Linked DNA regions of Saccharomyces cerevisiae S288C. The gene in region 1 interacts genetically with each later gene. Each region holds a gene or a part of one and is shown on either strand. Other genes may lie near its edges.

The links. Genes that interact genetically often act in the same process or in processes that back each other up.
Region 2: mutations in YNL033W (region 1) and RMR1 together harm fitness more than expected from each alone (negative genetic interaction), as found in Saccharomyces cerevisiae (one large-scale study listed by BioGRID).

The regions. Positions count from the first base shown.
Region 1 is NC_001146.8:566,139-574,390, reverse strand, and holds YNL033W (uncharacterized protein), read right to left. Parts: upstream 1,393-8,252; coding exon 538-1,392; downstream 1-537. Other genes in the region: YNL034W (uncharacterized protein), read right to left, coding at 2,076-3,914; YNL035C (uncharacterized protein), read left to right, coding at 4,700-5,869.
Region 2 is NC_001139.9:27,482-35,203, reverse strand, and holds RMR1 (Rmr1p), read right to left. Parts: upstream 3,295-7,722; coding exon 2,569-3,294; downstream 1-2,568. Other genes in the region: ZIP2 (Zip2p), read right to left, coding at 1-2,106; HFM1 (DNA helicase), read left to right, coding at 3,568-3,625, 3,778-7,283; RTG2 (Rtg2p), read left to right, coding at 7,720-7,722. UniProt on the Saccharomyces cerevisiae protein: Required for normal levels of gene conversion events during meiosis.

The sequences.
Region 1 (8,252 bases):
AATCTTCTTTCCCAGTATCATTATTAAGTATTTCCTTCTCTTGTCTCTCAAGTTAACTCACGCAAAATTATTTTTATTTCCATTCCTTGAATTAAAGCCCAGCTTTTTTTCCATCTGGCGGGAATTGTCTGCTATTTTTTACCCGCGTCATCAAAAATATTGATAGCATAGTCTAATAATCAAACGCTTACAGATCAATAAATACTCATCCCGTAGCGCAGCGTACGTACTGTGCGTTCCAAATCTTGCAATTGCAAGAAGGATGTAAGCGCTTTTTTTAGACATTAATTTTTCCCTTATGTAGCTGGCAAAGTCGATATGTACTATAAAAAGCCATTGCAGTAGTATCATTCCCGGCTGCTTCCAAGTTGGCGAGCCGCAAGACTCAATGCCGCTGTATATTTTTACTGGGAAACAGGTTTGAGTGTTCACAGATTGAAATTTTTATTAATACCTATTAAAGTGAAATACTGACAGATACTATGTACATGTAGGGGTAAGTTGGTGTATGGTGTGTACAGCCAGGAGCAGCTCCATCTATAGCAAGCTTGAAGAGTACATATGGACGCTTAGTAACGTCTGGTTAGGCCGGTCTCTCGATAAAACCGCGAACCCGTTTCTTTCCCCCTGCCAGTCCTCTCTGTTAAGAGTTGAAGCCAGTTTAGTGATGCCGCCCAGTACTTCTATCGTATAATCTCCAAAAAGTGTGTATAGTTCGCTTACAGAGGGCATTTTCGATGAAATATCCGCGAACCCCAAGGCGCTCACTGATCCAGCATCTAAAATCGAAATACTCCCATGGTTGTGGTGGGATAGCGAGTCCAGAGTGTACTGGTCAAAGCATATCTCTGTAAACAAATCGTGGAATGGCACTATCGAGTTTTCTCCGACGGTCATGAGTAGACATTTCTGCCGGTTGCTTCCTTCGAACGGGTACACTAGTTTCTGAGTGATATCCATTTTAGTAAAAGCTTTCCCGACACCCTTTCCGAAGATTCTGCCGACCATTTCCCCAAATCCCAGTCCTACCATTTTTTCCATATCAGCATCGCTATTCAGCTTATTTTCCTGCAGATACTTCAGAAGATAGCCCCAAGCGGTGAGTAGTAGGACAATAAAGTTCAGCGCACAAGAAGTTATTTTCAAAGGACCCTTCCACTTAAATGGTGCGCAGTTGAAAAGAAACTGCATGGTTTGAATTATGTTAGTAGCAGTATTCAAAGCGGTTTCCGCTTTGTTTTGTGGTTGCGGTGCGGCAGTCACAGTTGTGATTTCGGTGATTGTTGACGTAGTAAATACAGTTGTTACATCGACCGAGTGACAAAGTACGGTTAGGGAGGTAACCAACGCAAGGAAAAGGACGGTTGTCCTTGATTCTCTGGAGTAAAGCATGATCTCGCGCACGCTCTTGCTATTGACAGCCTCGTTGTATCAACTTGTGTTTAGGAAAGGAGGCAGAATAAAGATTAAAAATGGAAGAAAAGACTCAATGGTTCCAGCGAAACAAAGATGCTTGAAAAAAAAAATAATTCAGAAACGAGTCTCTTGTCAGGAAAGCAGTGTCAGGAAAACAGTGTCTGTTCTATAGTTTGTGTTGTGTCCCTCAAGCACTTTTGTTGTTAAAAAACCTTGCTAAAGTTTTGTACAGGTTTATACCGTTGTGCAAAAACTGCTGCTAGGATAACTGAACAGTTGTTTCTGTGGCAGATGTCGTGAATAGGCGCCTTTATTTTAAGGGTCCAGTGATTCGCGATGTGAATAAATACGCGCGCCGCTCTCGAAGGAACCTTTTGAGGCTGCTTCTGTCGATAAGAAGGCTTGGCAAAGGCCTTTGCTTTACTGCTTCTTTCCCGCCTTTTTGGTGCATTGGGTTAATTGATGAATATGCGTAAAATTTAAATCAGACTATGAAAACATATATAACAACTATTACAAGAGGGAAGTGGTAGTCTACTTGAAGAGGCGCGCCAGAAGAAAACGGTGGTAAGTACGAAGTTATGTGTAGACTAACTTGCTCGTTAAAAGTATTTCGTCAGCCGTGCCAAACAGTTCGAACTATCGGAACTTCTGACGGTTCACTGATGTACAAAAGTTGAGAGCCATTTTCGTAACCGGCTTTTTGTCCCATGCTCAGAAGGATGCATTGGTACGGTCACTTCGATATTCCTTCTCTGTGAGTGGAGCCAGAGCTTTTTGTTAGTTTCTAGTTCTGTTGCTGTGCGAGACTCACGAACAAGTAGTAGCCGGCATGGTTTAGATGGTTCTGGCACGGTAAGCTGAGGAGCGCTATTATGGTTGCGGGTAGTACAGTCATTAGAAGGTGGAATAGATTCCTTGCATATGTCTATCAGTGCCTGAAACGCCCTCTCAATGAGGGAGGTGCCAGGACTCAAAATTAAGGATTGTTCGGCGGGATGCGGTAAGCCTTCGTATACTAGGTTGTTGGACGGAAAAATCTGATACGGCTTGATCTGAATGTTAGGATCGACCTTACTGTCTAAAGTATCGAGAGTGATGTTTCCTTTTCGGTTTAAAGACTTCTTCTCGCCGACATCGAGAGAAAAATGAATGTGATCAAGAACCAGATCTATTTCTCTTTGTGTGTTTTTCCAGGGACAAAAAATGGAGTAGGGCTCAATCCTCTGGAAACCTTCGTATTTGTATTGGTATGAATAAAAACGGCACTCTGCTTCCTCCATAAGTTGGTCGTAGCTGGGCATTGTATCGAAGTTGAAGGGTCTCTTCCAGAATGGAATACTTTTATTTGAGGGATTGTAGTACCTTCTGGGCTCAGATTGTTCGTCTAAAAGCAGGTATTGAACAGCTATCATCTTGCGCTCAAATTTAAATTCGAGGGAATCGTAGTCAATGTTCTTTGTACTTCTCAGAAAGAGTGGACAGTATTTTCCCATTTTGCTTTCAAACCAGTTCTGTGGCCTGTCAAGGTACTGTTGCATGTATGAAGGAACTACAGTAGTCAACGTGTGGTTAGACTGGGAAAATTCCGCTGCGGACCCGACGCTGCAGCTTATATTTTGATTGCGGGGAGCAGGAGCGCAGGCATCTTGTTTAGATTTTTGGCTTGGATAATGTTTGTGGTGATCAGTGGAATTTATTGGGCAGTAAATTTCAGTTGGAATGATAGATTCATTCGTCTCTTTTGTTCTGGAGTCCTTGGTGCGGCGGAAATCAAAGCAAGTCACTTCTGCGTTAAGCGATGCGAAATTGCCGTCTGGAAATGACGATATGTGGGGAGAATGAGGAGGATTCCATGACGAATAAACTGATGAGGATGTGCTAACAGATGAGGTTAGTGAGGGTACCGATTCGTTGTTTTCTGACGCAGAGTCTGTTGTGGGAGATGTGGTAGCGTTATTTCTTTGCACAAGAGAAGGTGGGAGCATAGCACGGTTGTGGGAGGAGGAAGAAAGCATTACGTTGCAACTATCATTTACGGAGTGGGATAAGAGGTAGGAGGTTGTCATAGCGGTGCTTTCTTCCTGGTGCATGGCAGAAGACGTTGGCAGTAATTCGTTTATTATGGTGACATTGTCGTGATTAGAAAGGACTGTCTCTTTTACCATTGCCTCGGGTATGTTTTTTGACGCTTGCCCTGAACTTACTCCAGAGCAAGCCTCAGTAGAAGAATGACCGGAATGATTCCTCTTATACACGTTCCAGAGCGGAGCATTCTTGACATCATAAAAAAAGTTGCTGACAGGATCTTTGGACTGGTTGACGTTAAGTGGTTCCGTAGCTGGTCTGATGTTTTCTTGTACGGTATCACTGACGGCTGAGAAACCTTCAGAGGAACCGCTTTCGGGAACAGACTTGGAGGATTGCAAATTAAGCCATTGAAAGTCTAGCCCAACCTTGTTGCAAAAGGCCTTGAACTCCTGGAAAGATGTAGACATTATGTGGGCGAAAAACAAAATTAGACCAACGCTTTAGCAAATTTTTTCAACCTCAAATTGATATTTGAAGATTAGATCGGATGGTTTTTTTTCCTGTGGTGTAGGCCAAGCTTAAACAAGGTTTTAAGTGAAAGTGGAAATAATTGTGATAAACATGCGGAAAGAGTGCCAGCCTTAAATAATTCCGCATTGTTGCTATGTCGTTTTGTTTTTGTTTTTGTTTTCGTCTTATTGGTATTTGTTCATTTTACGACCACAAAGGATCCAGGGCTTCTACTTGCACAGGGAGGGTTGCTTGGTTAATACAATACAAACGTCAGAGATATTAAGATTTGTAAAGGGTGCATTCAATGAGTTTTTCCTCAATGTGCCCTAGAAAGGAAGTAGTACGAACATTTCTCAGTCGGAGTTTGCCGGAAATTCGAATGACAGTGTAAGTTGAGTTTTGTGGCACAGGGATAATGAGCGGTGGTGCTGGCACACAGTAGTGACGTTGGTTTGGTAGTGTGGAGGGACGGTGGAAAACAGATAACAGTGGTCTCTTGGCCCAGTTGGTTAAGGCACCGTGCTAATAACGCGGGGATCAGCGGTTCGATCCCGCTAGAGACCATTCTTTTTTTTTGCATTGGCAATGTGATTTATAAAAGTTTTCTTAGTCCAGATTGTAAAAATGTTAGATGGGACTACAGTGCACGTACGCAGTCATTAGGACATAGGCACTGGCTCGTCTTACTGTGTAAATAAAAACTACTTAAGTTCGAGAATCTCAAATTAACTTCTAGAGCATGGCTAGTTATTCTTTAGTTGAATCGAATTCTTTCGGGTCAGAAAATTGGTGTCTTAAGTTACAGCCTAGTTATAAACATGGTCTTTTAACTGGATTAAGTAATGGCGAAATACGTTTGCTAGACTGGAGTACTGGTAAATCAGTACAAAAGATTAAGGCGAGCGAAACTGCAATCAATGATATGAAGGTCATCGGTAGCGACTTCTCTGCTGGTCATCTAGTTAGTAGCGCCTCTATCGACGCGGTGAAAGTTTTCGATATAAGGACGAATGACCGCATTGCTCAAATTCAAAACGAGGCCAACTCCCCCTTTATTTCCTTAGATTCTCGTCATGGTCTATTGGCCTGTGGTACCGAATTGCAGGGAATTGACGCTGCTGTATACATATATGATATTCGCAAATGGGACACTCCATTGAGATCATTAATTGACTCTCACCATGATGACGTTACCTGTATTAAATTTCATCCTTCTGACGTCAATATTTTGCTCAGTGGTTCAACTGATGGTTACACGAACATTTATGACTTGAAACAAGATGAGGAGGAGGACGCTTTACACCAAGTTATTAATTATGCGTCAATACATTCCTGTGGATGGTTGTCCCCAAAGAGGATATTTACACTATCACATATGGAAACATTTGCAATTCACGAATTGAACGACAAATCTGACGAATTGAAAGAGCCACAACCCTTGGACTTTGGTGATGTAAGAGAAATATGGAACTGTGACTACGTGGTAGATATTTACCCTGGACTCATTGCAACCGGTAAAACCCAAGAAAATTGTGGAGAGTTGTGCCTCCTACCATTTAAAGATGAGAAGGTGGATACTGAAAACGGTATTGTTATCCCACACGCCCATGGAGACGAGGTCGTCAGAGATATTTTTATACCAGCACAACATAGCAACATGTTATACTCCTGTGGTGAAGATGGTTGCGTTAAAATTTGGGAAAACAAACAGGGGCCGTTAGATATTCCAGAAAATTTTTGGGATTACTCTAAAAAAATGAACGTCTTAGGAGATGACGACAGAGAAGGTTCCATTAATTTAGACGAACCTCTTATTATTCAAAAAGAATCGGTTTCCACGAGGCCAAGGAAGGAGAAACACAAGAAAGCCAAGAAACATTCCATGAAAAGTCGTTTCAAACCATACTAGTTTCATAAAGACAATACATCTAAAGAGATGCCTAACATCTGCAAGAGATTTCGGCAGAACTACTCTATAACTTAAAAAACGAAGCATACATTCCAAACAAGTTGATACTTCTAGATCATAGTTTATCTTCATAGGGCTTCTTTTGTTGGTACAATGTTATAACAACTATATTTCTGCTATATAGAGTATTAATGCATTTTTTTTTTTTATCTCCAGCATTAAACGTGCACGCTTCTATAAGGTGGAAAAAAAATACTAGAAAAGGAATAAGTGAAACACCACGTTGATGGTGAAAAAATATAAAGGGGCGAGCTGGGAATTGAACCCAGGGCCTCTCGCATGCTTTGTCTTCCTGTTTAGGCAGGAAGTCGCCCAAAGCGAGAATCATACCACTAGACCACACGCCCGATTATTTTATGGTGATTTCTGTCTCACAGGAAATTGTTATCAAAGGATAAATAGCATATTTGTCTTAAAGAAGGTTTTATAAATAGACATGCAGAATGTACTTATCAGTGGTATTGGAATGTGTTGGAATAAAAATCAACTATCATCTACTAACTAGTATTTACGTTACTAGTATATTATCATATACGGTGTTAGAAGATGACGCAAATGATGAGAAATAGTCATCTAAATTAGTGGAAGCTGAAACGCAAGGATTGATAATGTAATAGGATCAATGAATATTAACATATAAAATGATGATAATAATATTTATAGAATTGTATAGAATTGCAGATTCCCTTTTATGGATTCCTAAATCCTCGAGGAGAACTTCTAGTATATCTACATACCTAATATTATTGCCTTATAAAAAATGGAATCCCAACAATTACATCAAAATCCACATTTTTCTTCATGGTAGCGCCTATGCTTCGGTTACTTCTAAGGAAGTCCCATCAAATCAAGATCCGTTAGCCGTTTCAGCTTCCAATTTACCGGAATTTGATAGAGATTCCACTAAGGTTAATTCTCAACAAGAGACAACACCTGGGACATCAGCTGTTCCAGAGAACCATCATCATGTCTCTCCTCAACCTGCTTCAGTACCACCTCCACAGAATGGACAGTACCAACAGCACGGCATGATGACCCCAAACAAAGCTATGGCCTCTAACTGGGCACATTACCAACAACCATCTATGATGACGTGTTCACATTATCAAACGTCACCTGCGTATTATCAACCGGACCCACACTATCCGTTGCCACGGTATATCCCACCACTGAGTACTTCCTCACCTGATCCAATCGATTTAAAAAATCAACACTCTGAAATACCTCAAGCTAAGACAAAGGTGGGAAATAACGTCTTACCACCACACACTTTAACATCAGAAGAAAACTTTTCTACATGGGTTAAATTTTACATCAGATTTTTGAAGAACTCTAATCTCGGTGACATCATTCCAAATGACCAGGGTGAAATCAAAAGACAAATGACTTATGAAGAACATGCGTATATATACAATACCTTCCAAGCATTTGCCCCATTTCATTTATTGCCAACATGGGTAAAACAAATTTTAGAAATTAATTATGCTGACATCCTTACAGTCCTTTGTAAAAGTGTGTCCAAAATGCAAACTAACAATCAAGAATTAAAGGATTGGATAGCTCTTGCCAACCTTGAGTACGACGGAAGTACATCTGCTGATACATTTGAAATTACAGTCAGTACGATCATTCAGAGGCTAAAAGAAAACAATATCAATGTTAGCGACAGATTGGCCTGTCAACTAATACTTAAAGGTCTATCCGGTGACTTCAAATACCTACGTAATCAATATCGTACCAAAACGAACATGAAACTTTCCCAATTATTCGCTGAAATTCAGTTAATATATGACGAAAATAAAATCATGAATCTAAATAAACCGTCCCAATACAAACAACACAGCGAATACAAAAATGTTTCTCGCACATCTCCAAACACGACTAACACAAAGGTTACAACTCGTAATTATCAGAGAACAAATAGTTCAAAACCAAGAGCAGCAAAAGCTCACAATATTGCTACATCTAGTAAATTCTCAAGGGTGAACAATGATCACATTAATGAATCAACCGTTTCATCACAATACTTAAGCGATGACAACGAACTTAGTCTTAGGCCAGCAACAGAAAGAATCTAAGCCAACACACACAGTAGACTCGAATGACGAACTACCTGATCACCTTCTTATTGATTCAGGAGCTTCGCAAACGCTTGTCAGATCAGCCCATTATTTACACCATGCAACACCCAATTCTGAAATAAACATAGTCGATGCTCAAAAACAAGACATTCCTATAAATGCCATTGGTAATCTTCACTTCAACTTTCAGAACGGCACCAAAACATCAATAAAAGCACTACACACACCAAACATAGCCTATG
Region 2 (7,722 bases), on another chromosome or scaffold:
TAAGGTTAATAACTTCTTCAGGCGAGTCATTTGTGAAACCGTAAGCATTTTAACAGCTTTGCTTTCTTCCTTTATTATTGCCATAAAAAATTCTTCGAGACTATATGTCTGGAAAATTTTCCGTACTAAGAGGATGTTAAATCCCAAATCTAGAAGAATATCGGCATTTGCAATATTTTTTTCTTTCTCATCGTTATATGAAAAGGCCCATCTTGCAATGAAATATTTCATCCAATCAATAAAAAAGTCAGTAGTCTCATGAATGAAAAAAACATCAACACGTGAATTCAATAAATAAAGTTTGATTTTCCAGAAAAGATCAGGATCAACGTCTTGTATTATTTCAGAAAACTCCACAATTATAATGACTCTCTGAAATTCAGTTAAAAGATCGTTTACCGCTTTATCGTAATGCAATGAGCCGTTATTTCTGAGTTGCATAAATCGGCTCGCCTGAATTTTATATACACATGTTGAATGGTTTATAATGAAATCGCATTCGCCAAAGTAAGATTGTTCGATAAGGTCTAGATGGGAATTTTTACATAATGACTGAATTACCTTTTGGTTCTCAATCACCTTGTTTTCATTTACGGCTATGCATTTATTCTCAATATCTTCTTCCAATATTGAATGCTTTACTGAGTAGTTATTAAATGAGCAATCTTCCTTTCCATTGTAAACTGAATTAGAGGTAGGAATTTCAATATGAGAATTTGCATATGTCCCAGAATTTATCAAGTATGAAGTGGAAGATATACCGGTGTCACTAACATCCTTGTCCTTCTTTATTTTTTTTTTGGTGACTAACATGGACATTAGTTCATTATCGATGAAAGATCTCTTTTGAGGAGCTAATGATGTATTAATATCCGCCTTAGATGAAAGACAATCATTTTCATCAAATTCTTGGGTTTCAATAGCAGTTTCATCGTGTCTTTCACTTTCTTCAATTGACTGATTTTCAGTTTTTTTTACATCTGGCATACTCATTGCAAGCTTTATACTACCAAACGTCTTTTTTTGATTATCGATCAGGTCAAGGGAGCCGGAATCTAATTTTTGAAAAGTTAACCTTAATGGTTTGATCGAATAGGCCTCCCTATTTATGGTAACATGCTCAAATATTGCATACCTAGAATGATTGCAAATTCTTTTCAGAGGATCCCATACCAAATCCTTTAGGTCTTCTTTTTCTAGACACCATATTTTATAGTTCTTTTTCTCAATTGGCTTATTCTTTTTCAATTTTTTCATTCTTATTTTAAAAAATTCTAGTTTATTAAATTGAGCATCAAAGAGTTCATCATAACGTTTTTCAAACGTATTAAGCTGTTGATCATGTTCTGGGACTTTCACAACCCAGCTTTGCGAACTGGTCTTGAAATTGTACTTACTGCACCTACTCTTATATTTGAAAGATTTCTCAGGTGAGATCCGTTGTAAACGGTATCTATTGTAGGTTTGCTCAAAAATTTGGGGCTTCCATTCTGACAAAGGTTTATCAGAAAATCCAACGCAGAAGTTCAACTTTTCCTCCGTTAGTGTGCTGCATTGCACTTCCAGTACAGAGGACATTTGTCTTAAACTCGGATATGGTACCTTTTTCCTGTATTGACTTCTTCTGAGAAGTGGGATGTTGAACCACTCTAACCTCGTGTTATCGTCTGCCAAACCGTGTTCCGTCATTTTTTGGTGAAGAGGAGCATTTAATTGAACTGAAAGACTTTTCATCCAGCTAAAAAATAACATGTCCTGTTTCCCGACTTTTAACTTTTCCTTGAATAACTCATACTGTAGTTCTTCTTTGTTGTCATTCTCAATGTTAGTCACATTCCATGTTTTGCCAACGGCTACATCTATTTTTTGTCTTCCAGAGGTGATGTGAATTACCTCCAAAAAATACTCTTCACCATTGATCGTGCCGCAGTTTTCATACCCTCCGATTTTCAGTGGTTTAAGTTGCAAATTTCTTAGCTCTTTCAAATATTTTTGTGCTCGTCTTCCCAGTTTGATGTTTTCTTTTAAGTTTCCTGACAGAACAGAATAGCCGCCCACATTTTGGTTACATTTAGATAACTTTACTTCCCAACGTTCAATAATCATAGTATTTTTGTAATATGATCTATTTCTCTAAATTGATTCAATTACTCGAGCTCGTTAACAATGGTGTGGCACTATTGAGTGATTTTCTTCTCCTGAAACATATTTTATGCTTGTATTTTACATATCCTAACAGAAAATACTTTCAGCAATTCTTCCGAAAGTAAAACTTGAAAAAAATTGAAGAAAATGACGAAAAAACAATACAAAACAATAATACAATTCGCTACAAAAAAGGGGGAAGGGCTATCAGAAATCGAATATGGACCTTTGCATCATCCAAAATTAATGAATACTTAACTGCTGACTATACAAACGAAAAAGAAGGCGACCTTAAATATTACACAGAGCCAATAATTTATTCGCGGGAGAAGATTCTCAAAAGGAATCCGTGACTGGGAAATCAGAAACTCACCGTTGGACATCAGGATTTCCCACGATCAGTGCTGATTAAACATGGCTACTTTAGTCTTCAGAATCCTCACCTACGTCATCATCTATGTCCATTACAATGACTTCTGAAGTATTCTGGTGTGTATATTGGTCATTGTCATCCACAATTAAGGGATGCGTTTCATCGTTAGAAAATGGCTTTATGTTTTTCAACGTAGCTGAGCTTTCAGTTAATTCAACCAAGGCGTTGTACCGAGAGACAAATCTTGGCCTTGTACTTAATTCAATAGCCAAGTGCGTCGGTATATCAGTTTCAAAATTAGACTCCGATCTTTCCTTCAGGATTTTAAATATAGTATAAACATCGCTGAATGAAATATGGTTGTTGTAGACATTATCTTCGAACAAGGTCAAATCGAGGCTTTTCAGTTGTAAAACCAACTCCTTCGTAGCAAAAGCCAACCTGCCAAAACGATTTCCCATAAATTTACGAATGGATTCCATGAATTCCCCCATGGGTCGCTGATAAAGAGCAGCGTTTTCACATATTATGGGGTTGTTACTTTCGTTCTTATCATCCGACGTGAACAACAGAAATGTAGTATCTTTATATTCCACGGTGACTTTGGGCAATTCGCTTTTCATTAAAGTCTCTGCCACGTTGCGTATACGGGCGTCCGATGGTTGTTCCTCCACGAGTTCATCATCATACTCCAAAAGGTCTTCTTCATCGCCCTCATCCAATTGAACCCCGACGTCATCCACCTCCACTGTTTTATGCGCTTCTTCTTCACTCATCTTTGATTCCATTGATACCAACAAAAACAATCTTTAACTACGTATCTTTTCCTTTACGTATATATAATTAATCATATATACTTCCCTTTTTTATGCCTTGTTGTAGTTTTAACATATCATGTACCACGAATGGATGCAGGCTCGGCGGGTATTTAGACTTTGCCCCGGATTATAAACAAAACGGGACTATTAGTATCATCTATCAAGAAATCCTTTCATTGAAAATGATTGATACCTCAAGGTGGATTTGACAACTTAAGAGGCGTCGTAAGGATGAAAACAAAGTTTGATCGCCTCGGTACAGGAAAAAGAAGTAGACCCTCTCCAAATAGTAGTAACGAAGCTTAGCAACACCCTTATCAGTTTACACCATATCGGACAACAACAGTATTTTGACTAACATTGTTACCTCTTTCTTTTATTATCTAGCGGAAATGCAACCAAAAGTGGTTTTTCTGGACTAGAATTTCAGAGGACTTATAGATATTGACTTTAACGACCAGTCTGCTACATTTAAAAGAAATAAGAAAAATAGCCGCCAACCAAGTTTTAAAGTAGGTTTGTCTTATAACAGTTTACTGGATGATTGTGATGATGAAAATGAAACAGAGGAAATATTTGAGGGCCGTGGTCTGCAATTCTTCGACAAAGACGATAATTTTTCAATAACAGCAGATGATACACAAGTAACTAGTAAATTATTTGATCACGATTTAGAGCAGACACCTGATGAAGAGGCGAAGAAACCTAAGAAGGTCACGATAAGGAAATCAGCGAAGAAATGTTTGAGCACGACCATATTACCAGATTCATTCAGAGGGGTTTTTAAATTTACAGAATTTAATAAAATGCAATCAGAGGCTTTTCCTAGTATTTATGAGAGTAACGAGAACTGCATAATTTCTTCACCAACCGGATCAGGCAAGACTGTATTATTTGAATTGGCAATATTACGTCTTATAAAGGAAACAAATAGTGATACCAATAACACCAAAATTATATACATCGCGCCAACCAAATCTCTATGTTACGAGATGTACAAGAACTGGTTTCCTTCCTTTGTGAATCTTTCTGTTGGTATGCTTACTAGTGATACCTCTTTTCTGGAAACTGAAAAGGCTAAAAAATGTAACATAATAATTACGACACCAGAAAAATGGGATTTGTTAACAAGAAGATGGTCCGATTACAGCCGATTATTCGAATTGGTCAAACTTGTCCTAGTTGATGAGATTCATACCATAAAGGAGAAAAGAGGAGCATCTTTGGAAGTAATTCTGACAAGGATGAATACAATGTGTCAAAACATTCGGTTTGTTGCTTTAAGTGCAACAGTTCCAAATATAGAAGACCTAGCATTGTGGCTCAAAACTAACAACGAGCTTCCTGCAAATATTCTTTCTTTTGACGAATCGTACAGGCAAGTTCAGTTAACGAAGTTTGTTTATGGGTACTCCTTCAATTGCAAAAATGACTTCCAAAAAGATGCTATATATAATTCCAAATTGATTGAAATAATTGAAAAGCATGCCGATAATCGTCCCGTACTAATATTTTGTCCGACTAGGGCTTCAACTATATCAACAGCAAAATTTTTATTAAATAATCATATTTTTTCAAAAAGTAAGAAAAGATGTAATCATAATCCCTCCGATAAAATATTAAATGAATGTATGCAACAAGGTATCGCTTTCCATCATGCTGGAATTTCTTTAGAAGACCGTACTGCCGTTGAGAAAGAATTTCTTGCAGGTTCAATTAATATATTGTGTTCAACTTCAACGTTAGCTGTTGGTGTGAACCTTCCCGCATATTTGGTCATTATCAAAGGCACCAAAAGTTGGAACTCTTCTGAAATCCAAGAGTATTCAGACCTAGATGTACTGCAAATGATTGGGCGGGCAGGAAGACCTCAATTTGAAACTCACGGGTGCGCAGTAATCATGACAGACTCTAAAATGAAGCAAACATATGAAAACTTAATTCATGGAACTGACGTTTTGGAAAGTTCATTACATTTGAATTTGATCGAGCATTTAGCAGCAGAAACCTCTTTGGAAACTGTATATTCAATTGAAACTGCAGTAAATTGGCTACGAAACACATTCTTTTACGTTAGATTTGGGAAGAATCCAGCTGCATATCAAGAGGTGAACAGATACGTTAGTTTTCATTCCGTTGAAGACTCTCAGATAAATCAATTCTGTCAGTATTTGCTTGACACCTTAGTAAAAGTGAAAATAATCGATATCAGCAATGGGGAGTACAAATCTACAGCGTACGGAAATGCAATGACGCGACATTATATATCCTTTGAGTCGATGAAACAATTCATTAACGCAAAAAAATTTCTATCATTACAAGGGATACTAAATTTACTGGCCACTTCTGAAGAGTTTTCAGTTATGAGGGTGAGGCACAATGAAAAAAAATTGTTCAAAGAAATCAATTTATCGCCACTTTTGAAATATCCATTTTTAACCGAGAAGAAACAGAGCCAAATAATTGACAGGGTTAGTCAAAAGGTTTCTCTTTTGATTCAATATGAGTTAGGTGGGTTAGAATTTCCATCATACGAAGGCGCTTCTAAACTACATCAAACTCTTGTTCAGGATAAATTCCTCGTTTTTAGACATTGTTTTAGATTACTAAAATGCATGGTAGACACATTTATTGAAAAAAGTGATGGAACATCACTGAAAAATACTTTGTTCTTACTGCGAAGCCTGAATGGTCACTGCTGGGAAAACACGCCAATGGTTCTTAGGCAATTGAAAACAATTGGACTAGTTTCAGTAAGAAGGCTAATACGACATGGAATTACCAATCTAGAAGAAATGGGGCATTTGTCAGATACTCAGATTGAATACTATCTTAACCTCAAGATTGGAAACGGCATAAAAATTAAAAACGACATTTCTTTGTTGCCTTGTCTGAATATTAGAACAAAACTAGAAAATTGCAAAATAGAAAATGAAGAGTTGTGGTTGACATTTAAAGTTGAGATTAGTGCAACATTCAAGTCTAGCATTTGGCATGGTCAGCACCTCTCATTAGATATCGAAACCGAGAAAAGCTCAGGAGAGTTAATCGACTTTAGAAGATTGCAAGTTAACAAACTACAGTCACCAAGGGGCTTTAGAATTTCAGCAAAAATATCACCAAAACTAGAAAAAATAGAATTCTCAATTCATTGCCAAGAAATCGCCGGACTCGGCAAAACAATCGTATATTCCACTGATCATTTGGCATCACAGTTCTCTGCGAAGACACCAAATATAAGGAAAGATCTAAATAGTTTAGAAAAATGCCTCTTCTATGAAAGCAGTAGTGACGGAGAAGTGGGGAAAACGTCTAGGGTTTCCCATAAAGATGGATTAGAAGAATCGCTATCCTCAGATGATAGTATACTAGATTATTTGAATGAAAGGAAGAAATCATCAAAGGCGGTTGAATCTGCAGCAGTTATTCACCCGGAGGCACACTCTTCTTCACATTTTAGTAATGGCCGCCAAGTAAGATCTAATGGCAATTACGAGTGTTTTCATAGCTGCAAAGACAAAACGCAATGCAGACATTTATGTTGTAAAGAGGGTATTCCAGTAAAGTATATAAAAGAAAAAGGACCCTCCTCAATCAAGCCAGTATCAAAACCTGATCAAATACGCCAGCCACTGCTTGCAAAAAATATCAACACAACCCCTCACCTGGAAAAAAGACTGAATAGTAAACCAAAGCAGTGGCAAGAAGAAAATACAGATATTGCGACAGTTCATACACTTCCTTCAAAAATTTATAATCTATCGCAACAGATGTCGTCTATGGAAGCGGGTGAACAAGTCCTAAAATCAGGCCCCGAAAACTGCCCTGAAATAATTCCTATTGATCTTGAATCATCCGATAGTTATTCTAGTAATACAGCGGCGAGCTCAATAAGTGATCCGAATGGTGATCTGGATTTCTTGGGTTCCGATATAGAGTTTGAATGAGCGGCATGGCCGGGAACAATAGACATTACTGATATTCATTACCCCAATCCTTTCTGTTATTTGTATTGCTTCCCAACAGAAGTTAGCATGTGTGAGAGTTTACTTATAATGCTTTGTTTTTAAAATGCAGCCAGTGGTGAAACAATTGGAACCTTTACTATTTATTAGGGAACAAGATGACATTGTCAATTGATATATTACTATTGTTACATATCGTGCTATTTATCATTTCAATTATTAGTCACATGACCGCGATAAGCGATCCGGGTCAGAATGCCGAGATAGGATAACTTTGCCGGCGGAGTTCCTAGATCAATTGAAAGAATCGAAGTGAGATTAGTAATTCATTCATATGTACCTTTTAAAAAAGAAACTCACTCTTGGAAGTGTCCTTTACTAAGGATTGTTTTGAACGAAAAGTGTAGGCGTGCCACAAATG